Mytilus edulis: one gene and its partners. The main gene of each other region encodes a partner of the protein of the gene in region 3 in a complex. Links are inferred from orthologs where the notes say so. Each region holds a gene or a part of one and is shown on either strand. Other genes may lie near its edges.

Region 1 (8,318 bases), on a different chromosome or scaffold from region 3:
TTCGGTATTCCAATGAGTACTAATAGTGCATCCCTACTGTTTGACATGTTTGTTGTACCTATATGAAGCAGAAATCATAAGAAACGTTTCACAAACAAAAAGATAAAGCATCTTGCATAGTTCTTTAATTTCATTTTCATATATATTAACGATGTCCTGTTACTCAATAACCCGCCTTTAAATTAGTGCTTGTATCTTATATAACCCAGTGATTGTGTGATAAATCAAACTATAAAAACTATAAGATATTATTCATATCTTGAACTTTTTCTCGATATTGACCCAGACTGATTAATATTTCGCACGACATTTTGCTAAGCTTGGCCGCACTTAAGCGTAATATATTTACAAAACAGCCATGTAATCCTTCAAAAATGAGGTGAAGAATTTAAAAGGAACATTGAAACTCATAAGATGATTATAAACTGACTACACAATGACTAAAAAGCAAAAAAGCAAGGAGACAAACAACAGCATACAAAACAGATCAAAGAATAGTAAGCACTGAGCAACACGTACCACATGACAAAACAGGAGGTGAACTACAGGTGGTCTAGATGGTAAAGAAGATTCTGCTTCACATGTAACACCCATCGTGTTGCTCATGCAAGTACACATAATATACTATTAAAAAACCCACCCAAAGTAACTATTTTAAAAGTCTCGTGCAAATAACCAGTTTAATAATCTCAGATGGCATTTGCTACTCTGTTCTGGAAAGATTGTTTTTTTTATGAGGAAAGTGTACGGGATAACTCAACATCGTCTGATCGAGTATCAAATTCCAAATCTTGTTCGAAATCATTTTCTGTCTCAATAGTTTCATTTAGTATTTTAAAATGATCATACAATGCTTTTAGAGATATATCGTCATTGTTATCTTTTTTTTTTACTATCATTTAGATTATTCAGGATTTTCCATAGAGCTTTTGTATCCTTTTTAGAAATGTTACGCAACTCATCAGCAGCCTTCTGTTGAAAGTTTGCAAAAGCTTTATTTAATGTTATTTTATGTTCTTTACTAGCTTGTCTCATTTTACTTCTGTTTTCAGCATTTTTCAAAAAACTATATCTCTTTCGAGCTTTATGAAATTTTTTTCTACTCATCGAGCATTTTCTATTAAACCAAGGTTTTGAATTTTCATGTTTGTAAAAATGTTTATGTTTATTTATTTTCCCAAACGTTTCTGCCGCCGCATCTTTAAAATTTTTGCTGATATCTAAAACTATATTGTTTATATCATTTTGAGTTGCATCATTATTTACGGACAATTTGTCCAGTTTATTCATAACAGTGGTCAAAATACCTTCGGGATCATTGTGAATTCGATCAACGTATTCAGATTTCTGTTCACTTTTCCACCTGACAAAAGTTTGATCATTTCTATTGTTGATAACAATTGAATCTGATTTACTAAATGTGACCTGAAGTCTAAAATTTATAAAAGAATGACAATCAGAATATAACGGTATAAAGTCAGCAATTTCAAAATAAAAAATCATAGGGAAGAGCATTGCTGAAATAATTAAATAATCAACAACACTTGAATCGTTACATGTTTTCTCCCCAATATCTTTATCTGATCCAACTCTTGAATTCGCAATATATAAATTATTTTTTCTGCACAACTCTAACAGTCTATGACCATACTTATTAGGTCTACATGTACACTGAGACACTCTTTGTAAGGTGATTTTGTTTCGAGTCAGATTCTCATAATCATACAAATAATATAATATATCAGTATCACAATCTAAATCAAACATACTAACAACTGACTCATCAGGTATAATATAATCGGGTAAAGACCCAGTTTTTGAGTTAAAATCGCCAACTAGGGCAACATAACAATTTTCAGTGTTTGTTAGGATATTCAATTCATTTTCCAATTCTTCAAAAGCTTCTATAGTAGAATACTTAGAATTTTCAGGTGGTACATAAACACAACCAAAAATTACATCTGAATTAAGTGACAAAATTGATTTAGAAATTTGAAACCATAAAACAAATTGACTCTCAGTATTATAGAAATTCAATTCTTTTTCTAAACTCTTTCTATAAATAACAACTATTCCACCTGATGGTTTTTAAAAAAAAAAATCTATTTTTTGTGACATAAATATAATCGTCTGGTAAGTTTAAATTATCTAAATCAGTTAACATCGTTTCAACAAAAATACAGATATCATGTTCAAGCAAAATGTCAATGAAATCAGGAGACAATAGCCTTTTCTTAAGTCCACAAACATTTAAGAAACAAATATTTAAACTATCATTGTTAATTGTATATTTCTTATTCACAGTTTCATAACTTTTCAAATTCTTTTGAGGTTGTCCTCTTGCACCATTCCCCTATCTGCCAGAATTTGGTGAATCATCTGTGTGCGGTGGGCGAGGAGACGGTCCCTGTCGCTGTCTTTTGCTAGGATGGGTATCACTAGAATAAGACCCTTTTGGGCTCGTGTCATGGTTTGTTGATGAAGAGCCAGTATGCTCCGTTCTAGTGTCCTCTAATACCGTGTCAGGAATGTAGAGCTGATTGTCTATGTATAGCCGATCATGCACAAGAGAGGCTTGTCTATTTTGCTGTTTGGCTTGTTTTAACACCGGATACAGTTCCTTCCGCTTTTGTTCAATTTCATGAGGAAATTGTTCCCGTATTCCATATGGTCTACATTTTAGTCTGGTAGCATTTGCTTAAACATATTCCAGATCACGGTGATATAGGAATCTTGCAACTATTGGTGCTCTTCTGTTGTCCCCCTTTGTTCTGAATCGATGGACATTACCGAATTCGATCTTGTAGTCGATCCTCAGCTCATCGTATAGAAAAGATCGCAAAAGCTCTTCCGTATCTTCACCCGGAACTCTATGCAATCCCGTAAAGATCAGATTGTTTTTCATTGACCTGCATTGCAAGTCAAGAATAGCTGCCTTTAAGGACTCAATTTCCTTTGAAATGATGACTGGTGGAACACCCGGTCGGACGATGGTGTTGTCTTCGAGTTTCTTAATTCTCGTATCCTGATTGTTTATATTACGTCTGTTGGTTTTTACTTGTCCAGATACTTGATCGAAAAGATTGCTAACACCTTGGCAGCTAGTCTCGCAGTCTGACAGCTTTTTGTTGAAATGGCTTGCCTGGTTTTCTAATGTTCTAACCCTAGCTGACACCGTTAAGAAATCTTGTTTCAAATCATCAAGGTGCTTCTCCATACTTGTTTCCATTCGTCTCATTGTAGAGTCGATACCCGTAACTATTTCCAAAATCATGTTAAGCAATGTGACGGAGTTCAGATTTACATCATTGGAAGCGTCAACTATTCTTCGGCTTTCTTTAATCAACCTCGACTTATCGCTCATCGACATTCTTTTGATATGGAAAGAATTTAATAAAATAGTTCTTCTGATTAGTAGATAAGTATAAAAGAGGGACGAAAGATACCAAAGGGACAGTCAAACTCATAAATCTAAAACAAACTGACAACGCCATGGCTAAAAATGAAAAAGACAAACAAACAACAGCACACACGACACAACATAGAAAACTAAAGAATAAACAACACGAACCCCACCAAAAAACTAGGGGTGATCTCAGGTGCTCCGGAAGGGTAAGCAGATCCTGCTCCACATGCGGCACCCGTCGTGTTGCTTATGTGATAACAAATCCGGTAAATAGTCTAATTCGGTAGGTCACATTCAGGAAAGGGAAGGGGATTGTAGTTACGACGTAAGGAACATATCCGATATCATTTGTGATACGGTTATTCCATAACGGTCAACCAACTTAAATTAATACCTCTTGCTTGGGGCAAAGTCATTAAACAGATCACACCTGGTCAGAGAGTATTAAATTCTAAATAACATTCATCCAAAATTGCAACATCCTGTACAACTTAAATCGCACATGGTCTTTTGAATTCACAAGATAAGTAATACACGAGTTTATTAAAGAAAAATGGGCTTTCTTTTTACCTGTACTCTTTAATAGTCCGTATAAGATTTAATATAAATTATACGCTATATTTTTTTTATCGCAAAAGGGGTTATACTTTTTTCAGCAATTTTGGAAATGTTGAATTCTAAATCTCTCTGATATAGGAGTATCCTCTTCAATGAACTAGTATGTGCTGTTCATTTTTGACCCCTTGGCATTTTGAAATATCTTCCTATTTTAATGGCAAGGTTATGAGCACCGACTCTTAGTTAACACACCGACGATCGATCTAATCTATTTCATAAAGCATCAACATAAGCTATAAACGTACAGTCATTTTGTAAACATTATGGAAATTAATTTTTAATACTAGTATGCTGAAATATTTGCCTGGCAATCACGGGTCTAAATAATTTTTTTTTATTTAATATAGGATTTCTCTATATTTTTCTATAAATGAACTTTATCTGATACTCAAATAGAAAAATGAAATAAAAAAATGGGGTCACCGTTCATTTACGCTCACAATCTCGGAAGAAGCATACATTTTGTTAATGTCCTTTTTTTCTGTTGAACTAATAGGAGAAATAGCGGTAATATCGAAATAAAAAAAGAACTAAATAACAGAAATCGCTTAAATTTTACAATTATTTAGTTTATGTACAGCTTATTCGAAAACAACAATAAAAAATATAGGTCACCGATGTGTTAAGAAAGATACTTATATTTTAATGCAAAAAAATTGGCATTTTTGCACCAAAGGGAGATAATTTGGAGCTTTTTCAATGATATCTACATTTTAAAAGTCACCTGGGGCCAACACAAATTGATTTTTTGGAATGATTTTTGTACCATATGATAAAGGAACAACTACTTAAGGTAATAAACAAAATTTGTAATGAAAAATTAATGTTTTAATTTTTTTCTGAAAATCTTATACCCGCGAGCCTCCTTAAATGTAACTTTTCCAGTGTCTTTAAACGTCGAGATCATAAAAGTTAAATTGATTCAGATTGGTCACTTCATAGTTAGTGAAAGTATGAAAATAGTTTAATTGTGAAACTGATATTTTTTTCTCGTCTAAAAGTCCCTAAATAGGTAAAAATTGAAGATAAATGGGAAAAGTTATTATTGTGCTCCTCAATCTTTATTTTTCTGTGTTCGTCTTATCAGAGACATATAATACAAATGTAGAATATGTCTCTGGTCTTATTAACGTTTTTTTTCTTTGTTTTGTCATTTTTTGCGGAAATTGATATTATTGTTTGGTCATCGGTTTAACATTTATATTTCTACGCCTGCGCAATAAACTACCGGCGAATCCACGAGGGTTTTCAAGATGGCGGCTGATAGAAGCGATTCAGAATCGCGGAGACAAAAATCTGATTCACAGAATCAGGACGGAGAATTTGAGGATTTCGGAGAAGAACCAGACTTTAGTGACCCTGATGAATATGATGAAGATGTAACTGACGAAGGTTAACCTTCGTAACATGTTTTTTTCTACCCCATATGTGGGCTTCCGATGGTTTTCGTACTTCTGGAGTGGTTCAAAACCACTTTTATAAGATGTTTAGTCTGATTTCACCCCTTAAGTCTTGTTTTAATCCTGATCTATCTATACCAGTCCATATAATTCTTAGAGAATCCAACGATTTGCATGAAATTATGCGCAATCTGTATCTGTATCTGTATTGGGAAATCCCTCCTTCAAAGGAGCACTTCACAATGAATATATATGTCTATACACACTTAGTTTGAAAATATAAAAAATATAAATATAAACAAAAGAGATGAAATATGGGAAAGAAAGAATTTGCGTTGTAACTTGTATGATTGATGTATCCATGAGAGACTGAAAGCAACTTATATTTGTTCACAAAAATCTAAATAAATGAGATAAGAGATCAACCTTCCGTCTTCAACCAGTATCTATACCATATGTCAACTCTTTTGTCAAACCTGTTTGGCAATGGTATCAGGTCCGTTCGCGCCCAATACACGTTCGCACCCAAGGTCCGTTCGCACTCTACACGTTCGCGCCCAATTTTTATTAACATTCCAGTTGAATAATTGGAAATCATGATTGTTGTTTTAAATTGCTTTGGTGTAAATATTGAATGTATATAGCTCGGTATGAGTAAAACATTGAAGATTTTAAATGAAAAACACAAAAGATAATTGTTTTTGACAGCTTGGTAACTTTGATCTGAAACAATTAAACAATAAAATACATGTATTTTACACTATTATAACCAAAACATGATGAAATTTATTCAACACACAAAAAAAAACGTAGTCAGAATCTCACTTAGTTGTTTTGAAACAAGTCAATGAAACAAAGTTATAGCAATACACTAACCAAAACATGATTAAGAGTTATTCAACACAAAATAAAACGATGACAGAATCCCACTTTATTTATAAAAAGGATTATATTTTCTTTTAACAATACACTATCCAACTCATGATTAAGATTTATTCAACACATAAAAAAAAATGCTGTCTCACTTTATTTTAAGACAATGACAACAAGAATACTCTTGCCAAAACTTGCATGATTACTAAATCAAACAATTAAAATTGGGCGCGAACATGTAGGGTGGGAACGGACTTTGGATGCGAACATGTAGGGTGCGAAAGTAAAAGGGGGCGAACGAACCCGGATTCTTTGGCAATGGTTTGACATTGACAACCATCCTAACAAGGGATTGTCCCTCATATCCTTGATATATAATATTTGCCACTTGACATTAAGGTTCATCGTAAGGAATTGAAAAATATGGCCGTGTTTACACCTCCAAAATTACTATGAGTACAGACAAACTGGTACATCCAGGAAAGTTTTAAGGCATGGCAGGAACTAGATATATATAAAAGTTATATGAAGTCTACGTTTCAGAAAATTAAAAACTTACCTGGATTTTGATGTTCATTTTTTTCCAGTCTGCAGAAGATAGCAAAATAAACAAACACCCGAGTTTCATTTGATACGGTCCACTCAGTTACACAGTTTAAACCTGTAAATTCACCTATTGTTTACAGGTGTCTATTGTCCATTTAAATCAATACTACTCACAACATTGATTATATGAGGGGAGCTTCTCAATCGTTTTCACTACTTAGTTAATTTTTGCACCTTCTGCAGGAACGAAAAAAATGGATAGCAAAATCTAGAAAAGTTTATAATTTTCTGAAACATAAAATGCATTTAAAATTTATATATCTAGTTCCTGCCATCCCTTAAAACTGTTGCAGGTGTATAGGTTAGTCTATACTCAGAGTAAAATTTGGGGTGTAAATACGGCCATTTTAGCCAAAAGGTTATGATGAACCTTAAACACTAATTCATCAACAAGTTCAAAAATGTTCTTTCATTCTGTTGATAACAATTTTGTTAAACTACTTTTTACAATATCAGTGGCACATCCAGGGGTAGGATTGCGGGGTTGAAAACCCTCTTATTTTGGACGGTCAATGCATTTGAATGGGGACATAAAAACGAAACCCCCTTTTTATCCTGAGTTGGGACCACTCCTTTTGAAAATGGCTGGATCCGCCCTTGGATATAAAGTTTCAGTCAAACCTTGTCAAATTGTTTATTACTCTAGAGACAGTCTGAGATTTGCTGGGGAAAGTAATCAAGATATTTAAGGGAGTGTGTTCTCAGTTTCAAAATAATTAGCATTTCAAAACACTAGTATATATTGATAGGGGATTAATAAAGAAATTAAAAGAGCAAAAAAATATATAGGTCAATGTGCTTGTTTTCGAGATATTAGCCATTGAAATTTTGGTGGGAAAATATTTTCTCTTGACGTTTCATAGCTGTATCATTGACAAGTTTAAGTTCTCAAAAACTATTAAAAAATAATTAGAATATTATAACACGTTTTACAGATGGCTAAAAATCATACATGTAAAAGATTTATAAAAAGAAAAATGGGAGCTAACGGGCAAATTTTTTAAGGCATTCAAATGGATTAAACCAGAGGATTCTGAAAATCTTACAAAAATCCCAAAACATGACAAGCGTACTTATGTGCTTCCTTAAATTAAGATATGCTTAAAAGCATGCTTCTTTGGGCTTACATGTATATCATTTGCGATTTTGTACATGAATAGTAAAAATCACTTATTTGAGATTTCACATACCTTTGCATAAACTATTTGATTTATTAACAATGCATTTTCTTCTGTAAAATGTACATCACAGAAACTTATTGTTTTTTTTCAGAATTACTTGGAGATTTATTGAAATCGAAGCCAAAGGAGTCTGATGGGATTGATAACATTATTGTTGTAGACAATGTCCCAGAAGTTGGTCCTGATCGTCAAGAAAAGTTGTCAAAAGTTATTAGAAAACTGTTTGAAAAATTT
Region 2 (8,218 bases), on a different chromosome or scaffold from region 3:
CATACATTGCTCTTCCTTAGTGTTGTAATATTCCATATTTATAACTATCTCATCTTCTATTCTGTCAAATAGCAACTCAAATGAGTTCATCACTTCTATTATTCTTCCTTTCTGTTTACCAATAACTGCTCCAAGAACTTAAAAACAGTAATACATCAAAAATTTATCTTAGCATAAATTAGAAAAATAACTGCCAGGATGGCAAGCAACAATAAACCAATCAGTAACATTTGCTTAATAGAATTTTAAATTGTGTGCCCTTTGCAGATGTCTTTACTTATCATTTAAGTGTAATTTCATGGACAATGAAAATCCCATTTGTCTGTTATCTTCATATCACTGCTCATTTATAAGCCCCAAAGGAGCAATTTTTGAAGGCCTTGCACAAATACCTTACATGTATTACCTATTTTCCTACATGAATTCTAGGTGGAACCCCATTCCTAACTCTTTAAATATTTAATTTCCTTTGGGTCAGTGGGCATGACTCCTTTTCGTACACATTCCTCTGTTTTAATAGCGATCAGTTTTAATATAGTACGACGTCTATCAACAGAATGAGTTAATTTTACTCAACTCGTCGTTTGACGAAAGTTACTTACAGAAGGGAGACAACTCGAAGCAATAATATGGAAGACTCCATTTTGGCTGAAGGGGTTTTCTAGTTACACCTATACTTTAAGGACTACATTTATTTTAATTCAAATGATGCATCTATAATACTAAAATTACGAGGTCCAATTTGTCAGCCGTCATCACGTTAAAACGATGAATCAAAGAATTCAACTTTATATATAACTAATATAGTACAATGGTGTTGATTAAAAATTACACCACTCTAGGCCCGTTTGTTTTCCACGTAATTAATATTGCCAATAATTAAGAAGTTCCGGATCGAGTCCGACACCGATACCAATAGTATATTCCCCTGTTACCTATTACCTTATCTGTACGTTCCGCATCTGACAGGCGCACCACCAAACAGTGTATTTAGAATTTTGCTGTATACTGTTGAGTAAAAAATACTCCATTCCAGGCCCTTTTGTTTTCCAAATTATTAATATTACCAATAATTGATAGGTTCCAGGTCGACGGGTTCAAACAGAAAGATTTTGAAAGCAGAGAAAACTGTGCACGTTATACATGTTATAATCGGCATGACTTTATCAGATGACAATACCAATACTAAAATAAGGCATACGCATAGTTATATATCAGTCACGGACCCGCGATATCACGGGTGTGTTCTAGTATGATTTAAAATTATGCAACAACAATAACCCTCAACAGACATAGACGGATAGAAAGGATCTTGTGAGTTTCAAATTAATCAATGGAGTGGGGAATCCAGAGCAACCATTCAATCTGATACCCCTATAAGTCAAGAAAACTATACACATGCACATAATTACCTTAACAAACCCTAGACTTGTTCTTTGTAGCAAGGACGTATATTAAAAACAACCTCCGTTCTTTATGGAAGTACAATATCAAATATCAGTTTCATAATGGTGACATACATGTACATGTACAACAAAAATGTATATATATAAGAAAACTCCACTTCAGTTCTTATATGACAGACATAGATTTATCGGAATTCAGAGAACTCTTGCATATTACCAAAACTGGGGAATTCCCTCTGACGTGTTTCTAAATTTATAAAAACACTAAATATAAATACTGCTTAATTCTGATTTTCTGTGTTGTTAAAAACACCCATACAAGTCAAGGGAAATATCGAAACATGATTGAAGATTATTAGAAGAACATTATAGGACAGTTGTTTAAATTCAATCCTTTTGTTTTTTATACCATTCAAAGCAAGACAATCTAGTTCCTTGCTGTTTAAAAGAAAATGGTTGACGTGAGGGCATGGCCCGAAGTCAATGGTATAAGTTTACAGATTGCTTAAAAGCGATTGTATCCCAAAAAACAATTTGCTTGACCAGTATTGCCTGCCACAAGATTGATGACGCTGAATGGAATGTACACAAAGCAATGGAGGCAGGAAGTGGGATTTTGTGAAGTAATTCAAAAGAGTAGAAAAAAAGTATTCTGCACTAATTTCTACACTGGAAGTAGCTTAGTGACGTCAATGTGTAGTTTCCCTGTGTGTTAAGTTCAAACACAAATACCGATTGAACTAACAAGATGACCGATAAATGTTTAGACTACATACATTTGTACACAGTAGTCAGTACTCACAGTAGCCTGGCTGAGTAGGATATGCAACGAAATTTCAATAATGTTCCTTAAACAGGTAGGGAACAAACCTTCTATATGGTAATTATACCTGTATAGAGGGATAATCCTTCTATAGAGGGGTAAAATTATCCTCTATATGCCTCTATAGAGGGATATTTTTGTTCAGACTGGATTTAAATCAATATAGGGCAGAATGGCATTCTCTACTTATTATGGCAGTAACCTGGAACAGTTGATGCACCAATTGATGTACTTAATTTAATATGCAAATGCCCAGTTTCATGCTTATCTGACTAAATATAAAATCTATTGTTCACCATGATTGAAAGCTGTGATGATCAGGTAAATTCTACTCACTTCTGCCTCACTGAACAGAATTTCTATTGTTAGATTTAACATGAAATTTAAAGGTCAACTATTCCTTTTGTTGTTGATCAAGTGTTCAGATAGGTTAACAATAGATTGCAAGTTTTGTCACTTTAGCAGAAAACTGGTTATCCCAATTTTTAGTAAAGTGCATATGTTGATGCATATAATGCTAGAGATTGTAGCCAATATAGCTAGAAAATGCCATTCTGCCCTAATTTGCTTTAAATCCAGTGCAAACAAAAATACCCTTCTATAGAGGGATAATTTTATCCCTCTAAAGAAGGATTATCCCTCTATAGAGGTATAATCACCATACAGGGGGTTTGTTCCCAACCTGTTAAAGTAAAGTAGAGTTAACATGCCTTCAGTTAATTGTTTTTCTATTGCAAACATGGGTTTTAATGTGATTTTGCTTCTGCCATGTGTACAACAACTTTTATAATCTATGGTAATGTTACCCTGTGTTGGTTTTCCTTCTTGGGCTCGTACTCTTGTCCAATGTTCAGAAATATTCATTATGACAAGTGGGTGAAACGACACTGAAACACTTCCTGATGCAGTTGTGCTAGCCATCACACTAGTCATGCTAGTAGAAGGTGTATCGATCTCCATTTGAGAAGCCATGGTCATAAAAAACAGAAAAAAGAAAGAAAACAAAAATACTTTAAAGGGACGTAACTTTTGACGTCTGATGATCTTGATCATTTAAATGCTTATTTGAATATGCTTTACTCGGCCCGTAGGAAACTCGGACCGTCTTTGTAAGGTCAACTCGGACCGTTTATTCCAGCTCTGAGTCAATTGTGCGGCGTGACTTTTTACGCCAATCCCCAAGGTAAACGGACAGAAAGTCATAGGACAAAAAGTCACAGGACATAAAGTCACAAATTTGATAGGACAAAAAGTCACAATTAATATTTTATCAATTGTTAAGATATATATAAGAGAAAGATCTTGAAACATTTCTTTTTATTACATCTATTCATTTCTAAGTGTAGGACACTGTTCATAAGCTTTGTAAATGAAAATTTATTAAATTTTAATCATGCAAAGGAGATATTTCTTGGCGACATGAAGCCGTTTAAGTACACAGTCACTTTGACATTTTGTTTTCATAACAATCATGTGATCAGTATTGATATTTATTAAATACATTTTAATTACAAAATTGCTTTGTTTATCACAGTTCAAGAAAAAAACGAATATTTTATTAAAAATTATTTTTTTTTTTTGTTTAAAAAAAAATATTCTAAAAACTGCCTGATTGTGACTTTTTGTCCTGTGATTTTTTTGTCCGTGACTTTTTGTCTGTGACTTTTTGTCCTGTGACTTTCTGTCCTACATTCATACCCCAACATACCCCAATATTCCTTCAGCTGGCCCCTATATAGGCTAAACAAATATATATATACTAGTTCAGTGACAATGAACGCCATACTAAACTCCAAATTGTACACAAGAAACTAAAGTTAAAAATAATACAGGACTAACAAAGGCCAGAGGCTTCTGACTTGGGACAGGCGCAAAATTGCGGCGGGGTTAAACATGTTCATGACTGAGATCTCAACCCTCCCCCATACCTCTAGACAATGCAGAAATGTAAACGCATAAAAATACGCACATTAAAATTCAGTTCAAGAGTAGTATTAGTCTGATGTCAGAAGATGTAACCGCAGAAAATGAACAAAATGACAATAATACATAAATAACATCAGACTACTAAGTTGTATTAACATTTATATCTTAGTCATGTATATAACTGATATTGACGAATTTAGAATTGTTCGTCCCTACATCGTTGTTCTTGAAACAATCTTTACTAGTATACATGTAATTTTCCGGACGTTTAAGCTCCATTGAGGATGAGCCCCAGAGAAAACAGACTAGTAGCGTTTCGTTAGTTTGTTTGCATGTTGGGAAAGGAGAGGATATGCAACCACTTGTACAGATAAACGACAGAATCACCATACAAGCTTTCATAGTCAACACAATCAGAAAGAGTCCCCATCGTCGGACGGGGAATATATGAAGGCTTCCAAGAATGATCATGAACAAGTGAAATGTCTGATTCCGTTAGTAAACGGACTTAACAATGATCTATAGACATCGACCGCTTGTTCTTGATATTTGAAACTGCATGCATATACGTAAACGTTTATGAGAAGGAGTGGTTACATGCTATACTCTCGCACTAGTATTACAGGGTTCTTGTGTCGATTACCTTAGACACAAATCTTTTTAACGATGTTTAAAAAAAAAAAGACAGAACCTTTAAAACTTTAAAATATTCTGTTTGATCAGCCTATAATTTACAGTTTATCTCACATCTCCTTTCATCATATTAATGTTTGCCTACGACCAGAGAATAATTCAAATCAGTGCTTTTGAGCTCGAAGTATGTGTTTATGCTTGTGTTGCATTCTCGTGCCATTGGGAACATATTTTTTACATATATTTTATATGACCTTCTGCAAAGATAGGATTAATGCCAGTTTACTGTTGTGTTTTTTCCTAAATGTGTTTTGGTCGTTTTTTTCGTTTTTTCAGTATATTTTCGGCTTATAAGTTTGAATTTCCCATTAATGCACGTTATATTTTGACTCCCATAGTGTGCAGCAGCAAATATTTCATGCTTAATTGTAGTCGAAAATGTGAACAATAAGTGTATATTGTCAACATGGTCAATCGGAGAATCATCTTTAATGACAGATCTTTTATTGTACGTTTCTGTTATATCTGGGAACAGTTATATATTAATATATATGTTCCTGGTTATATACAACCCTTGCCCGGTCTTCTAATGATTCCCCTTTGTCTGAAGGTGGTCTATAGTACGCACCTATAAGTATAGTGTTTTACTGTTTGGGGATGCTTTTTTTGCCCAAATTATTTCACAATCTGTGTCAAATTCATTTACTTGTGATGATGTGTATTTATTTGATTCTGCTAGTAGTACTCCTCCATATTCATCTTTTCTATTTTTGTGGTATACAGTGTATTTTGATGGTGCGTATTAATTAGATGGCAGTGACTATTTTACCGGCTCCGGCAAAATAGTCTCTTATGTGCTATTTTACCGGCTCCATTTGTAGACTATAGAGTTTTGCTATTTTGTCGGTCTTAATTATATATTATAAGATTAAAATAGAAGTATAGAAATTAATAATAGAAAAAATATACTGAAACATGCATTAATAAGAAATATACAACTATGCCTTTTAACATTTATACAAAACGTCCACATTAAGTTTGATATTTTTTACTTTAATAAGAAGTTTCTGAAAACATGTCTTCTTAAAATATTTAAAAAAATTAACTTATTAAAATTGATACTAGTGCATCTTAGGAAGTAAAAAAAACCACATCATAGTAAAGATAAAAAATGATACTAGTCTAGAACTTTTTTTTCTTTAATCGGAAGTCTTAACAAAAAAGCTAAAATATTAAGATTTATACTAGTACTTGTTTTCTGTAATAGGAAGTCTAAAAAAATATTTCTTTAAAAAAATATACAATACACATAAGCAAAGCATGAGAACCCATATAAAAAAATCGACATTCTGATTCAAACTTTTAATAAAAAAATATCCTATTAGTTTTCAATCAAAAAGTGACACCTAACAACATCTAACTGCTTTACGAGCGTTACAGAACCAGTGGCTTGTTTTTTGGTGACTTCTTCTTAAGTCTGGCATCAGAAAGGTGCTGCCACTGCATGAACTGAATAAAACACATGTTTCTTTTTATCACTTTTGCAAAATTTGCAGACATATACATTTCAGTATTCAACATTCATAGAATAAATGCTGTCAATAGCTAGAATTCTATGCATTGTGTGTACAATATTTTTGTTTATTAATCTTAGACATCTTATATTTTATTGCACCAAAGACTAAAGATTATTATTTTAGTTTTTCTGGTTTTCATGATTTCTAGTCCTCGTTTCACGTTTCAAAGTACTCAAAAAATCGCCCGGGCTGTAGCTTTTCATATTATCACTCAAAAATCAAGTTTGTTTGATAGCAAATTATTTGTTTTCCTTTTTTTCAATGTTCAACAGAAATAAACGTATCAACATGGATTAAATGAGTGCAGTTCGCCAAAATTGAATGACTAGAAAGGCAAGGCGAACACTGAAAAGGTTACTGAAATCGGCTAGCCACATATATATCATTTGTCATGTTTGTACCGAAATAGTTTCCTTAAAAAAATATTTTATAGTACGGTCTTGATTAAAAAAATTGAAATAAGACCGGCAAAATAGCAAAACTCTATACAAATCGCTATTTTGCCGGAGCCGGTAAAATAGCACCTAAGAGACTATTTGCCTTATTGATAAGATATATAGTATTTGAGAGCCAGGTTTCTGTGCCATAAGTTATGTCTGGTTCACAAGAATCTGTTCTATTTTTAAGGCGGTCCGAGTTGTCATTGGGCCGAGTAACAACATATAAATATCTTTATTTTCTCCTGTTAGGCCTATTTCTCGCTTTTCTGTTTGCTCATGGGTTTATGTCACGTCTTCTACGTGCTCCTATTAATAAGGAGGAAATACATCAGATTACATTTAGGACAACATTTAAAACTTAGCTTCTTTCCCCTATCAAAAACATCGCCTAAAAAGAAAATAAATTGCTTCCTGGACATTCCATCTGATATTTTGTTCTCACAATCCATTCACTGTACATATACTGTGTTTTGTCGAAACATTACCTTGATACATTCAGGCTTTTAAAAGGTAACGGTACCCTATTGCACCGAGTACCCAAATTGCACCTATTTAGAAAAACTAGCAGCGAAAATCTTACAAAATTTCACAGAGACTAAACAATTTGTATTTTTATGATTTGATACTAAGCACATCTTTCAACATAGGTAAAAATATTTAGATATGCACAAAACTTTCACAGTATTTATCAACAGATGAAGTATTTACTGAAAAAGCAAAATGTACTGAAACGTCGCCATGCGACGTCATCAAAACGTCATCTTTTTAAAATGAGCAAATACAATATGTTACAAGTATCCATTTAAAAAATAATGAAGAGTAAGCATGGACTAATATCCAATTGTTCAAAATATTTGAAGAAATTAAACAAAAGCTCTGTTATTAGACTTTTGACGATGTGAATTTAAGCATGGATGCAATTTGGGTGCTCCTCATTTCAGAATAATTGACGGTTTGGAGGTCAGTTTAGACCAATTTTTCTATTATTCCATATGGAATAAAAATCAAATTGGTGTACCTTTATAATAAAGAAGGATACGGCTACAAAATAAACACAGAATGGACATTTTTGTCTTTATCATAAAAAACGTAGATGAAAAAACTGTCAAAATAGGTGCAATTTCGGTACCGTCACGTTACTGAACGGCGATACGATATCACTAAAAAAAAATCGTCAAAGAAAGTTTTATTTCTATTTCATAAATTCTCCACATCACTATGTTCATATGTTCATGCAATGTTTGTTGTATTTATACAATTACAAAATAACTGCAATCCTACACATGACAAAACATTTTCCATTTTCCTTATGGTTGTGGGCTGTTTAAATCTAGTTCTTGCATGAACAGCTATTTCTTGTACTTTATGACGTCCAACCAAGGGTTATTAGCAATACTCCATTTTTGTACTCAG
Region 3 (8,322 bases):
TTCTTTTCAAGGATAACAAGGGGGTCATTTGTTTACAAATGTACGAGGTTATGCAAAATAAATCTACCAAGATTTCTAATAAATCAGATCATTATATAAATAAAACTCCTGTTAACAAAAGAAAATGAATTTTGAGCATAAGGTAAAGAACATAAAGAACTGACCATTAGGCCAAAAAAAATATATGTCTATTAACGGTTATCCCCGCTCGACCCTAATTTGAGCTCCAACCCTAAGCCATTTTACATAGAGTGAAAAATTAATAGAACTTGTGTCAAAAGCCAAGTGTAATAGATGTGCCTTGATATGCCTAAGTTAATTCCCCTTAATATGGACAGATCAATTATTTAGTATCTAAATGTTTATTTTAAGTTTAATTTGATTTAAATATCAATGAAGATACATATAATGTAAAAGTAAGGATTGTTAATTTTACTGTTCAGTCTATGAACTGAGCCCAAGAATTTGCATCAAAATGATGTTGAATAAAAAGTGAACTTATCTCCTACACTACTTAGAAAACACCATATTTTCAAATTAAACTGTCACATCAATTATATTATGTTAGTTCACAGACACCACATGGTTTCTCTCTCAATCTATAGGTGACAATTGTTGCAAGAAGGGATACTAATGAAATACACAATACCATAAAAAGAAAAGTTTTTTTTTCATTATATATATGTGATTTTGATATTTTACAAAATTTAATTTTTTCAATAAATTGCAAGATTAAAATAATTTAAAAACCATATATAAAAATAATTAGTTTTCAAATAAATCTTGAAAGGCAGGAAACATCAAAGAATATTTCCAAATTCTACTTTTTTTTCAAATTTAGAAAAAAGGGGGAAGGGTCTACCCTAAATGTGCCTGTGCATTTTCCTAAAAATTTAAAAGTTTTACAATTTTGTGTAGAAAACATCCGTTAGTTAAGTAATATTATCTGTCGCCTTATCAGTATGAAATGACAGATTTATAGCACTACTTAACCATTTTATAATTGCGAGAAGATATGAAATTTTCACTTTCTTGTGCATGGATCTGGGACTGTGTTTTATTATTTAACTTTTGATGTTTCTGTAATATTTGAAGCATATATTCATTTATTCAACTTTTCTTCAGTACCTTCTTTGATAAAGTTAGCCTGTTTAATGACAAGTTGAGAATATCATTTGATATTCAGTCGGAGTCGGCCTTGCACAGGCCTCCAAGTACTCGCCGGAATGTATCAGTTCACTCGAGTTAAGAGTAAGCCACCACTTAGGTGCAGTTCGCCAGAGTTAGTCACCCTATTTTGGTGCAAGTTTTACTACCTTAAATAACATAACGCGAAGCTAATTTACTTACTTTTAAGACTAACTCTGCGAACACTTTATTTTACATTTAAAATACTAATCTATTTTTGAACTCCATTTAAGAAAGTTTTCTGACTGTTGTTTATCCGACTTTGTTTAAATTCATGCAATTATTGTATATTTGTGAATAAAATATAGTTTCATTTGATTTATTGTCTGTTGTTCAGCAATAATCTGATATCAGGTATCCCGATGGTCGAATAGGGGCGAAGTACTGGCCACTACATGCCCGGGAGGTGTCGTCACCCACCCCCACCGTTACACCAAGTTAGGATTGCAAATAAATTTAATCAATTGCCTGATACATCCCAATGTTCACAATCGTGAATATGACAGCTGTTTGAAGGAAACTCGCAACTCGTGTAATGAAATAAAAACTTTGCTGCAATTTTTTTCCAACCAATAACCAAGGGAAATAATCCAATCATTAAAAATACGGGTGAACTCGGCCCATGGACAACTCGGACCACGGAAAGACGGACTGCACAACTCAAAATCATGGCACAAAAAATCAAATGGACAAGACAATGGAAATACCGACCGACCTACCCTATTTATTTTGATGATGTAACCTTCAACAGATATATATTTTCTTTTGGCCTTGCACTTGCCAAAAATAAAAATGAATATTTGAAAGATGAAATTACATGAATTATGTGCCAGGAGATTGCCAGAATGCAGGATTTTTTGCGCTACCAGTGGGTTTGAGCAACCCCCTACACCCCCTGCTGTAACGCATGTGACAGCTCCCTATAATTTTAAATTAACCTACTACTTCAATTTCAAGGGAATGCCCTGTACTTAAGAATAACACTGAAATCATATCTTTAGAAAAAAAAAATTTATTGAGAAGAGTAGAAATAGGTATTCTGCTCCTATTTTGAACGCTGGTATTAGCGTACGTAGTGACGTCAATGCTGAGTTTTTCCATGTGATGCAGGCACAGATCCAGAGGGGGGGTTCCGGGGGTTGGAACCCCCCCTTTTTTTTGGACGATCAATGCATTTGAATGGGGACATGTAATTGGAACCCCCACCCCCCTTTTGTACTGGGTTAGGAACCCCCCCCTTTTTAAAATGGCTGGATCCGCCCCTGTGACGAGTACAATAACAAATTCCGAAAGAACCAAAAAGATCATCGATCATAGACTACAGTAGGATATATATGAAAACCTGACTTTTAATTAAGATCATTACTAACTTTACTTATTTATACATGTATATAAAATGGAAAATACAAAAATATAACCAAAAACAACACTAAACAAGAAATATTTTGATTATCTATGAGGGGGGATAGGAGCTTTATCGGGACCCTGGCATAGGCTGTTTTTAAGCTCAGGATTTCAGGATTTATCCTTTTGTGATCTGGAAATTCTTTTCTCGTATTTCTGGATTTAAATTTATCTAAATTCGGGACCTCAGAATTTCATGTTTCAAAGCCCGGGATTTGGAGATCAGGACCCCTCTAAGTTTTGATATAAAAAAATTCTCCATATCAATTTATTTTGGAAACATTAACCAGGCATGTGCCGGAGAATAAACATCAGTACATTGATGGTTTTTTGTAACGAAAGAAGAAGATAAAAGTAACGCATGTTGTGGTTTTACCCGGCTGGTGTAAGAATGTGACCATGTATGAGATTAAGAGAAAGACTGGGATTAACTTAAGAAAATCATAATTCCAAATTCTTGACTGTTATTCGTGTGTAATAGATCTGGCGTTTTACCTGCTCATTGATGGGTAAGTCTATGAATACCGGTATGCTCATTTTTTCTGATGGCTTGTTGTCAAATCACACTAACGTGTTAATTTCTTGTTTATCAGTGGCAACATAAAAATAGGTGATCAGGGAAATTTAGCCAAATAAATGAGTAACCGGTCATTTTGCAATCTTAACACAAGTTAGTTTTGGAATACATCTTATTATTACTGATATCTATTTATTCATTTATCTGTTTATCTTTATCTTTTTTATACATTGATTGATTGATTGTTTGATTGATTGATGTATAGATTGATTGTTTGATTGATTGATTGATTGATTGATTGATTGATTGATTGATTGATTGATTGATTGATTGATTGATTGATTGATTGATTTGTTGATTCGATTGACACGTGTAACAAGGCAGACAGAAGGAATTGCCTAATATTGTTGAGTGATTTAGAATATAAGTGTTCTCGCCCAATGAAATTGTAGGATATTCATTCATTCATATCTTTAATTCCTCATAAATGAGATTCAATGAACATACAATTAATGAATATAAGCAAACGTTACAACATAATTACACACAAATTATTAGTATAAGAGCAAAGTATAAGGTAAATACACAAAAGATGATATATAAATAATCTATAAAAGCAATTAAAGTATAACTGCAGTGACACATCATGTATTGACACATCGTGTATTGACACATCTAATAACACTGTCTAAGAGATCGGCTATATTCTGCTACACACTGAATAACATGTGCATGACACAGCTTGAGAAATTGAACCGATTCATCTATGCTTGAAAAAATTGTCAGTGGTTTTCGACCGAGTAACATTTGAAACAGGATTTCGTCGTCATACATGTTTAATTCACAGTAAAGCTGCACTGGAAAATTGTCACTTAAAATGTCCCACCAGACTTCTCGCTGTGCATTAATACTTGGACAATTGCAACAAGCGTGTACATAAACATCTTTAAAATTCCTTGTACATATATCCCATATATTACTTGTTGTATTTGGTATTTCAGTTAGTAATTTAGTGATTAAAAAAGAATTTTTAATCTCATTAAAAGAATGTGAGTGTTTCCAAAATTCTGTAATTGTCACTGACAGGGGCGGATGCAGGAATTTTCGAAAGGGGGGTGCTAACCCAGGGCACCCAGGGCAAAGGGGGGTGCAAAACATATGTCCCGATACAAATGCATTGATCGGCAAAAATAAAGGGGGGGGGGTGCGCACCGCCGGAACCCCCCCCCCCCCCCTGGATCCGCCACTGACTGATGTATAATAATTCCTGAAACGTTTGAAGCTGTCATCTTTTGACAGTTCAAAACAAAGAGTTTCTACAAATGATTTACAACTCAGTGACCAGAAGCACATTTATCAGATAGAAAGGCTGGATTTATCACAATTGTGGAAACTGACTATAAAACGACTATAACTAAATTGTGAAACAAGTAAATGAGTTGAAGTTCACTTGTCCAGTAAAATTTGTACTTATCATGAGAATATTTTGAAATAACTTCAAATTACAAAAAAAAAAAACAATATCAAAGCAAAGGAAAATAACACAAAGCTTTAGCTCTCTAAAACTCTGTTTACCGAACATGAGGTTGGGAAGAATCAGATGAGTAATTTCAAATATTACGATAAAACAAAATACTAGAATGTGCGGTCCATAGTACAGGAATGTCCCATTCGCGATTCTCAATTTCTATGTTCAGTGGACCGGCGTGAAATTGGGGTAAAAACTCTTATTTGGAATATTGAAAAAATTGAAAGATCATATCATAGGAAACATGTGCATTAAGTTTCAAGTTGATTTGACTTCAACTTCATCATAAACTACCTTGACTGGCCAAAAACTTTAACACGAAGCTGAACAAACGGACGTACGGACGGACGAACGGATAAGGAAACAGACGCACAGACAGAAAAACATAATGACCCTTAGTGGGGCATAAAAAAATAGGATTTTGATTTAAGTTTAGATGTTCAGAATATTTTATAAGAACATTTCGCTGACATAATGCAAAAAGTATTTGATTTTAAAAGTCGGACCAAAATATTGGCAGTGAAATAAAATTAGTTGCAACTCAAATGTATTTATTGATTTTAAACTGTAATAAAATAGGATGGTTCCTCGTTAAAAGATTTACATTCATACTCACAATCAGGAAACATACAAAATTCCTACCTTTATTTGAACTGATGTGTGACCTAATATCTCAAACACAAATATTTCACAAATTTTATGAAAGTCCTTACATCACTTAAATTAACAAATAAAAGAAATGCTGAAAAATGAAGGCATGCATCAATGTTTAACATTGTAAAGTGTTCCAAGCTCAAATGATCTCTTATTTTTTTGTATTCAAGAATTTGTTTCATTGTCAGAGTAACTTTAATATATACGAGTAGATGTGGTATGCATGCCTGTGAGACAACTCTCCACCCAAGTCACCTTTGTAAAGTAAACGATTTTAGGTCAAAGTACGGGAAAACCAACAGTTTACTCCTTATAACTAGACTAGAGGCTCCAAAAAGCCCTGTCGCGCACCTGAAATTTTTATTTACAATTGATGCATTAATTTCTCCCTATGTCCTATTTTTAGCCATGTCTGTTATGTTGGTTGGCAGGCAGGATCATCGGACACATTTTTAAAACTAAATACCATAATGCTGATTGTGACCAAGTTTGGTTAAATTTGTCTCAGTAGTTTCAGGAGAAGACTTTTGTAAAAGCCATGATTACAAAATTAAGTTCGGAAAATTGTTAAATTTAACTTTAATGGACAATAACTCCTGAAGGGGTCAATTGTCCATTTTGGTCATATGACTTCTTTGTAGGTCTTAATTTGCTGAACATTATTGCTGTTTACAGTTTATCTCTATCAATAATGATATTCGAGATAATAACCAAAAAATGCAAAATTTCCTTAAAACTACTAATTCAGGGACAGCAACCCAAAAACAGATTGTCCGATGTGTGAAAATTTCAGGACAGATTGATCATAACCTGAGAAACATTTTTACCCTTGTCAGATTTGCTTTAAATGCTTTACGGTTTCAGAGATATAAGCAAAAAACTGCATTTTATCCCTATGTTCTAGCCATGGCGGCCATCTGGTTGGTTGGCCGGGTCACATGACACATTTTTTAAACTATATACTCCAATGAAGATTGTGGCCAATTTTAGTTAGCTATCGAATTGACCTCAGATGACCATATAAGCGATGTAAACATTAATATAGATATAAATATATTGAGCCAACTCGTGCAATCGGATTTTTAGAGGTCCGTTTAATTTTATTTAAATAAAGATTAGAAATATATGTTTCTCATCGTTTTTACCTGTAAAAGAAAGAATTTTTGTGGATCGAATCAGTCATCAATTGATTAACCTTTGTTTCACTTTCATTGTTGACATTCTTTTCCTTTGAAGAACCAGTACACGTACAATGAATGCGTTGTCCACCTGTAGTTACGAGGTTAAATTGAGGTTCACATGAATACGGATTTAATGAAGTCGAATTCTTCACTTGCAAGTGAATAATTCATTATCAATTCATCATCAATGTTATTTAGCTTATTTAGATTTTTATATTTCTCGTAGCTAGTGTCCCTTTAAACAAGTTACATCAAATTAATTTGCAATAAGATTTTTCCAAAAAATATTTAATTAAATATGTAATTTTTTTCTTGATAAGATTGTGTGGAAGTGTATTGTAGAGGGTAATAAAATCATAACTGTCAACAGAATTAAAAGGACCATCAAAACACGTATTTTATCTTAAACCCCTAAAGAATTTTTAACACTCCAAGAATAATTAATACCATTATTTGCATAGCTTTATCATAAAGTTAAAAACAAGTTCTTAGATAGTAGCAAAGGGGGTAGTTAGAAGCACTGATAAATTAGTATATTGAACACTTACTAGATGCTGAGACGAAACGGAATTTAAATGGTTGTTTGTGCAATTTAGGTATCAAGTACATAGCAGGGACTTTCAAATGTTCGGAAGAGACTTTAAGCTAGGTAGTCGCAGTGATATGATTGTTAACAATTTGACTATCTGTGGACCGTAAGGACCTAAATGTAGAAGAATTGATAATTTCGTTTTATAGAACTTCCGTGTAGTATATGCATCTCACCACCACTACATTATTGGCTGCTTATTTAGCTCATTTCCTAAAATCAGATGATGAATTGATTATTTGTATTGTGACAATGAGGATGTGCTATTCAGTGACTAAATAAAACTGTTTGAAATGGTTTTGTGTGGCTTTGTAAATATTTTTTTTGATTTTATTGTTCAATTTCTTCCATTTTGTGAAAATTGTAACATATCATAAAATTTGCATAGGGAGGGAGTAGTACTAAATCCCGTATATCCAAAGAGTTTTTTTTTAAAGGGGACAGGTTGAATTAGTCGATTTCCAATCAAAGTAAGATTGAAAATGTATTTACATGATGTATCAAGTTCACCTAACAAAATATATTACTAAAGGTTAACGTCAAAAAGTGCTTCTACACAAGTCAGGAATATGACAGTTGTTATCTTTTCGTTTGTTGTGTTTGAGCTTTTGTTTTGCCATTAGAATATGGCCAACTTTCCTTTTTTGAATTTTCCTCGGAGATCAGTATTTTTTTTATTTTACTTTTTTTACAGGTGATTTTATTTCATGTGATCGAAATTCAAACTTTATAGATAAAGGAAGATGTGGTATGACTGCCAATGAGACAACTCTCCATCCATGTCACAATTTATAAAAGTAAACCATTTGTATATAGGTCAAATTAAGTATGGTCTTCAACACAGAGCCTTGGATCATACCGAACAGTAAGCTATAAAGGACCCCAACATATTACTAGTGTATAACCATTCAAACGAGAAAACCAACGGTCTAATTTATATAAGTGCCGCATGTGGAGCAGGATCTGGTTACCCTTCCGGAGCACCTGAGATCACCCCTAGTTTTTGGTGGGGTTCGTGTTGTTTATTCTTTAGTTTTCTATGTTGTGTCATGTGTACTATTGTTTTTCTGTTTGTCTTTTTCATTTTTAGCCATGGCGTTGTCAGTTTGTTTTAGATTTATGAGTTTGACTGTCCCTTTGGTATCTTTCGTCCCTCTTTTATATAAAAAAAACACTTATGAGCCAAATCAACAAACGACAACTACCGAACATCAGGCACTTCTCTCTCATCTGAAACAATAGTGTAACACCACAAAATAGA
Region 4 (7,224 bases), on a different chromosome or scaffold from region 3:
TAAATACTTAAAATATCACATTGGGCAAATATTAAAACTAGGAAAACGAGATATAACACAAATGTAGTAAACATTTAATAACAAAAATACATTACAAATTGCCGAATCAACACGAAAGTATGTTTGTCACAAATTTTTTTTTTAACCTAAAATCAAATAATGCAGTTGTGCCATACATTCATTCATCTTTGGGGAGCATATTTTTTTCAAGTACATTTTTTGATTCTTTTAAAATTCTTTGAACATAATTTTTTTGAAGATGCAAGTAAAATAATTAATTGTTTCTTGTTTCTTGTTGTTGGTGTTGTTTAAAAAAGAAAATCAGTTACCAGAAATGTCATTAAAACTATCCCACTGAAGAGACATGTATTGCAAGCCAGTAAACTAGTGGGTGACAGACGTTACAGTGAGTCATATGGGCTGACAAAACTTTTACTTTTTATTATTGGACTGGATTCAGTGGAGAAAATGATATTTGATAACAGATTGTAAATGTACAAAATGAAATGGTCAGTTTTTGTTGGAGGCCGGATTATGAATTCCATAACTCTATACTGGTGAAGGCTTGCTTTTACTCTCAGAAATTATTAAAAAGAACCAAAGGATATGGGGTATCTATCCATATCACAAAATCACTACATGCACACAAAAAATAACCACACAAAAAGCAAAGGTTTAATACATATGCATAATCTGTATGATGATGAGAAAAGAGCTTACATAGGCGCTTACCTACATGTATGTAACCGGAGGGGTTTTTACGTTGCATATTTTCTGTGTCAACTTTTACATATTATACCCCAGACCGTGTAAAGAGTAGGTATTGGAATCACGAGTCTCTGATCCTTCATATGTGGCATTGTAGAACTTAACACTAGCAAGCTTTCATAGTTTATTATAATAAATTACAATTTAGCAAATATCAACAATATTATAAAGATAAAAGTAAATAGTTAAAACTCACATAAAAGTGACAAAATATGGTGAGGTCTGTGCAAGACCAGCAAGACTGAAGAATGAAATCTCACGAAAAAACAATGTTTTCTTAACAACTAGTATTCAAACGAAACGTTCTCATTTACAGAGACATATGATAATTGTATTATATGTCGCTGTCATTGCGTAAACCCCTGAGGGTTTACGCAGTATATATTGGACGAGTGATGTAGTATTTCGGAACACCGGATATTATTCGGAACACTTCTGCTCTTTCCATGACCATTTTTCAAATACATGCGCAATAGCTATAACCACCTTTCAAATACATGCGCAATAGCTTACTAATCTGTTGAATATGCATTAGCATCTTAAGTTGCTATAGAGATATTTTACGTATGCTCTGAAACTAAATATGATTATGCATTAGCATCTTAAGTTGCTATAGAGATATTTTACGTATGATCTGAAATTAAATATGATATAATATTTTCTTGCACACAATCAAGCTGCTTTTATTAACCTGCATGCGTAGTAATTAGAGTCAAACGATGTAACCAGCTGTGTTTATATATAAGATAAGGTTTCATGTAAACAATGCGCTTTATATTCTGAACGAGAATAATTAAAATTAAAATCTTTAGAAAGAGTTCTAGTAGCATTTTATTTTAGTTTTATGTTTAGTGAAGATGTACATGTTGTAAAAAGCAAGCTATTTACTTTTTTATACTGAAATTAAAGTCTTACTTGCATATGATTAAATTACAGTTATTTTTTTTTTTATTATTAAATATAGCAACTTTAAAAAAAAAAAATATTATTAAAAATGTAATTAAATAGATATTGAATATGAAAAAACTAATATAAAACGGAAACCTACAACTAAATTATATTTAAAAAAAAATACACTTGACTATGCGAATGTTTTGTCGTTTTTCGTTGGTTAATATAATATATGCAAACATTAATTTGTTTCTAACTTCAATCTGTTCAAGCGATTTATTTTTTCTACGATTATAAAAAGTATGTTTTTCATCAACAATTATTGAAAATTCAAATAGGATCAGAAAAGAATTATTAAACGATGTTTTGCATCTGTAGCAGTTAGACAATAACAACAAACACCTTAAAACTTTAGTTAGTTACAATTGCACCCTTAAAGTGCCGCTTTAATTACGATCAAAATCTTAAAATTAACCATGCATGTAATTTCGGTAGACTAAATAGGGTCAGTGATAAGATATCAATTGTCTATTTTTAGTTACCGAGTGATGACAGATGCAGATAGAGATAAGAACAAATACTTTCTATTTATAGTTACCTTAGCCGCAAATATTTTCTATTTATAGTTAGCCTACCTTATTTATCCAGGGAACTAATTATCACTTCTGAAGTATTTAATTTTAAAATGTTCCTCTTTATAAAAACAAAATAGTTATTTTTTTTAAAACAATCAGAAAATGAATTTTCGGCTTAATAGATTATGTATAAATTTGATATTTAGGTTTTTTAAGCATGTAAAATAATTTTATGAAATTTTTAAGTTTATTTTATTAATGAAATTTTTTATTTTTATTTTTATCAAAACAACAAAGCTTTGTGTGATCATTATGATAATGTACTGATATAAACGTGTTCTCTATAAATTAATTAAAAGCTCCTGGTCAACAGTTCTCATAAATGTGTAAACTAAACTTTCTCTGATGTCTTATATAAGCGCCACGGTGTATGGGTTGTACGTGTTTGTTTGTGGTGTTAAATTAGTCTTGCAAAACAAATCGGTTGTTGGTTAATTGCGTAAACCTAGACAGCAATAAGACACGAAAAGTGAAAAAGTCGGATTACAATCCTCAATTATCTGGAATGTCCTATCATTGTCTGAACGCAGTCGTTTAAATTCGTAACAGATAGGCTACGGGTCGGGAATGGTCTTGATAGTTCGGCGAAGCACCCCGACATTTAGGTGCGTCCCGTAACATTCGGGGAACTCAGCCGACTTTGTCTAGCCGGATGACAAGCGTGACTATGTCGTGGCAGATTCTGCTGTATCGGATAAAAATTCTAACATTGTTCTGTGTTTTCTGGACGGTGTCCTGTGGAACGGGAATGATCTGGAGAAATTTTTCATTGGTGTTTTTCTGCCGATTGAGTCCAGATTACATCCAGATCTAGTCGATTTCAAACCGTCTTTGCCGAAATCGTTCCGGAACAGTCCTGTTATTAATACGAAATTCGCCAATGATACCCACCTCAGAGTCCCGACAATTACAGAATACAATACGACTGAGACCAGACAAAGACGTTTGCAATGAGATAGAGAGGATCGTGATAGAATTCCGTTCCGACAGTACCTGATCATCCCGAGTATGTCGACAGTTTTCGAACGGATAACTTCTGTCAGCATCGGTTCACTGTCTGGTCACTGTCTGATCTCTGTCGGATTACATTCGGTAGAATCGGGATGCAGTTGTGACCAATTCGGTCGAATTTTACTTTGCGAAAGATACAAATCGGATTAGAAGCGGATTGAGAACGGGATTATCGTGAAAAAATTCTCTTGGAAACGGTTGAATATCGACGCTTCCTGAACAATATCTGATTGTTGTCGTGATTAATTAATTAAAGTTTGAATTTCCTTCCACGATTCACAGGATCTTGATCAGACTTTTGACAAATTTTAATTGGGAATGGTCCTGTCAAGGACGGCAGTAAAAATCGTGAATGTGTGATCACAGCTTTAGCGAAAATATATCAACCCACATTGAATTGTAATTTCATTAAGTAAACAATCAATGTCAGTTTTTAATTCTTATACCACAAATTATATAAAACAATACATCTTAAGTAAACAATTATCTAATATTTAATACCAAACAAGCATTTGGGTTTACGATTGCATTTCTTTTTTTAAAGAAAGCAACTTGTTTATAAATTGTTTAAAAACTCTACAGCAAATTTAGTAGGTTGTGGTTATGCTTTAAAACTAGCTCGTTGGTTTTCAGATCTACTCGAAGACTTTTTTACGGAAAAAATCACGATCACAAAGGCGCTTGAAGTACCGGTACACATGTGAATTTCTTAATTTTCATTTTGACAGCTGTAATTCACAAACTCCAGGATGGCTGACGCGATGAGGGCCCAAGTAGGTGCTTTGCTAAAGGGAATTGACAGGTAAGACACGATAATACGAAAGTGGTAAAGTTTTTCAAAACCGGCGATTCTGATTTTGTCTCGTAAAGAAAATGACACTGCAGCCCTTTTTAGATGTTAGACCAGAAACAAACCTGATACTAAACCCCTAACGGGAAGGATTGTGCCTGATATTCATATGATGAAATCATAATCTTTCAATCAGTTTAATTGAAGTCTGGAGCTGGCATGTCAGTTAACTGCTAGTAGTCTGTTGTTATTTATGTATTATTGTCATTTTGTTTATTTTCTTTAGTTACATCTTCTGACATCAGATTCGGACTTCTCTTGAATTGAATTTTAAATGTGTGTATTGTTATGCATTTACTTTTCTACATTGGCTAGAGGTATAGGGGAGGGTTGAGATCTCATAAACATGTTTAACCCTGCCGCATTTTTGCGCCTGTCCCAAGTCAGGAGCCTCTGGTCTTTGTTGGTATCGGGACTGTTCGCCCTAATAACATGTTCGCTCTAGGTCCGTTCGCTCTGAGTTCGTTCGCCCATAGAGTCCGTTCGCCCTACTATAAAAATATCAATATTCAGGGCATTGAAGTTGAATAAACTTATTCAGATATTTCTATGGTATATATATCATGTATATTCTTGAAATTTATGAAAACATTGAAATATTTAAAAGTTTATGGCTTGTTTATTAGGATCATTAATTGTTCAATGACAAAATAATTCTGATCACTGATTATTGTGATACTTGTCTTTTGATGGAATAATAATAAAAACAAACGTTTTATTTAGATAAAATATTCAGCTTGAAATCAATAAAAACAATGATGTACAAACTATAAATTATGAAACCGACTTACAAGTTCATTTATTTATACCTTAAGACTAGTAATACTGCATACATTCGTGATTGACTGAATACAATTATTTTGTTAACAAATATCAATAAAAATAAATAAATTCCAGTATTCTACTCTGCAAAGGGAAAATGATAAATTGATTGCGGCAATATAAATATTCTGTCAATTTTTCAACAAACTTTAACATATTTTGTTCAAATACTTAAAACAATGCGACTAGACAACAATTTGAAAAAAATAAATATCAGGGCGAATGGACCCTAGGCGAACAGGTACAAAATGTATCAGGACGAACAGGTACTAGGGCGAACATAAATTAGGGCAAACGGACCCGGATTCGGCTTTGTTAGTCTTGTATTTTTTTAATTTTAGTTTTTTGTGTACAGTTCAGAAATTAGTATGGCGTTCATTATCACTGAACTAGTATATATTTGTTTAGGGGCCAGCTGAAGGACGCCTCCAGGTGCGGGAATGTTTCGCTACATTGAAGACCTGTTAGTGACCTTCTGCTGTTGTTTTTTCTATGGTCAGGTTGTTGTCTCTTTGACACATTTCCCATTTCCATTCTCAATTTTACTGATTAAGATATTTTATCAAAATTTTCTGTTCCTCATATTACCAAACATCCTCTTGAAAGCATATACTTCCATGATCTGTACAGCTAATCAATCTTTTAATGAATTAAATGTTATCAGAGTTCTTGAAACTTAATATTTTTCTGTCTTTTTTTCTTTTACATACAAAATTTGTGTAGAGAATCAGAGTCCCCTATTTACGGTAGAAAATCAGTAAAAAATAAATAATCAGGAAAATTTCCCGAAATTTTCATTCTTCTTTTAGCTGGAACACTGTTTACATGTTTTAAGAACTCAAAATCGTTAACTTTTTTTCAGACATTTTTAATTTGCACATTTGCACAGAAATGTACTTCCTTTCAGTTGTGTCATGAGACTTTGAGTAGTCTAGTAAAATATAGAAACTCCAGGAACACAATAGTCAATACTAATTTCATTTTTTAATATTTCTTTGTCTAATATGAATAAATGTTACCTGATGATCGCATTTACTTGTTTACCTTGAATATGATGTCTTAACTTATATAACGTCATAACATAAATCCCAAACAACAGAACCAAAATCGGAAACGTTACAGTATTTCGGGTTTTTTTTTGGAAGTTTAAATATGTTTGAATTTTTAAAAAAACAATTCATACAGACTTTGTCCCCTTTCACAGGTAATGCCTGCCTCATATTAGTATTGACAGCAGTGCCATATTGCCAAACTTACTGGTCTTACTAATAATTTTGAGTTCCTACATTTGTAATGAGATACATTATGTACATGTATGACGATGGTGACCTGTAGTTGTTAATTTCTGTGTCATTTGGTCTCTTGTGCATGTTGTGAGAAGTTGTCTAATTGGCAATCATATCACATCTTCTTTTTTACATGTATATTGAAAATGGAAAATAATATACATGTAAAATTCAGAAAAAGTGTTTTTTTAAATCTGAAATTGGAATCAAACCATGTTATGTACATTTAGTTGATTTATATAACTGCCTTGTAGCATTCTCCTTGTGAGTTGGAGAGATCATTGATTAATCCCTGAGCTGGTTGGACTAAAGACTTTGTCCAAATATTACATTAAAATTAATTAAGTTCAGTATATTTATGTCACTCAAGTTTCAACTCAATTTTGGAAATGGCAAGACTGAATCTGACAACCTCATCCCCTGTGCAATTGTCAATTATAGTTACTTTTGTAAGCACTTTATTAAGATGATTGTATCCCACTTTTGATGGAAACCATTTTTCTCATTTGGAGATCTAGATGATCCATAACAATTTATTGACATTTTGTTTTATTACAGATACAACCCTGAAAATCTAGTAACTTTGGAAAAATATATAAACATGCAAGCTCAAGAAAACACATATGACTTGGAAGCTAATCTGGCTGTTTTAAAATTGTAAGTATATACATGTTTCTAACTTTAATTTCTATATACATAACTTTTTACTAATCAGGACATGGATGGAGAGTTGTCTCATTGGTACTTATACCACATCTTCTTGTTTCTAAATGACACATTCGACATAAGCTGTAGTGTATATACATGTGAATAGTGTAAATTAGAATACTGCAGATTTATTTATATTAGTGGATACCAATTTTCTGGGATTGATGAACAATTGCATTTTCGTTCATATTTGATTTCATGATTTTGAAGTGATGATATAATGATTTAAAAATATGAAGCAGCTAAAACAGTC

What was found.
Region 1: eukaryotic translation initiation factor 3 subunit M-like (region 3) and eukaryotic translation initiation factor 3 subunit B-like share a complex: the UniProt entries of both Caenorhabditis elegans proteins name them as parts of the eukaryotic translation initiation factor 3 (eIF-3) complex. The link is inferred for Mytilus edulis from reciprocal best matches to the Caenorhabditis elegans genes cif-1 and eif-3.B.
Region 2: eukaryotic translation initiation factor 3 subunit M-like (region 3) and COP9 signalosome complex subunit 6-like share a complex: the UniProt entries of both Caenorhabditis elegans proteins name them as parts of the CSN complex. The link is inferred for Mytilus edulis from reciprocal best matches to the Caenorhabditis elegans genes cif-1 and csn-6.
Region 4: eukaryotic translation initiation factor 3 subunit M-like (region 3) and eukaryotic translation initiation factor 3 subunit K-like share a complex: the UniProt entries of both Caenorhabditis elegans proteins name them as parts of the eukaryotic translation initiation factor 3 (eIF-3) complex. The link is inferred for Mytilus edulis from reciprocal best matches to the Caenorhabditis elegans genes cif-1 and eif-3.K.

What each region holds. Positions count from the first base shown.
Region 1 is NC_092352.1:57,917,166-57,925,483, forward strand, and holds the start of eukaryotic translation initiation factor 3 subunit B-like, read left to right. Parts: upstream 1-5,205; 5' UTR 5,206-5,277; coding exon 5,278-5,416; intron 5,417-8,175; coding exon 8,176-8,318. UniProt on the Caenorhabditis elegans protein: RNA-binding component of the eukaryotic translation initiation factor 3 (eIF-3) complex, which is involved in protein synthesis of a specialized repertoire of mRNAs and, together with other initiation factors, stimulates binding of mRNA and methionyl-tRNAi to the 40S ribosome.
Region 2 is NC_092346.1:85,901,514-85,909,731, reverse strand, and holds the start of COP9 signalosome complex subunit 6-like, read right to left. Parts: upstream 3,276-8,218; 5' UTR 3,208-3,275; coding exon 3,036-3,207; intron 138-3,035; coding exon 6-137; intron 1-5. UniProt on the Caenorhabditis elegans protein: Component of the COP9 signalosome complex (CSN), a complex involved in various cellular and developmental processes.
Region 3 is NC_092350.1:9,816,252-9,824,573, forward strand, and holds the start of eukaryotic translation initiation factor 3 subunit M-like, read right to left. Parts: upstream 3,200-8,322; 5' UTR 3,130-3,199; coding exon 3,088-3,129; intron 1-3,087. UniProt on the Caenorhabditis elegans protein: Component of the eukaryotic translation initiation factor 3 (eIF-3) complex, which is involved in protein synthesis of a specialized repertoire of mRNAs and, together with other initiation factors, stimulates binding of mRNA and methionyl-tRNAi to the 40S ribosome.
Region 4 is NC_092346.1:7,988,561-7,995,784, reverse strand, and holds the start of eukaryotic translation initiation factor 3 subunit K-like, read left to right. Parts: upstream 1-3,946; 5' UTR 3,947-4,054; coding exon 4,055-4,107; intron 4,108-6,821; coding exon 6,822-6,920; intron 6,921-7,224. UniProt on the Caenorhabditis elegans protein: Component of the eukaryotic translation initiation factor 3 (eIF-3) complex, which is involved in protein synthesis of a specialized repertoire of mRNAs and, together with other initiation factors, stimulates binding of mRNA and methionyl-tRNAi to the 40S ribosome.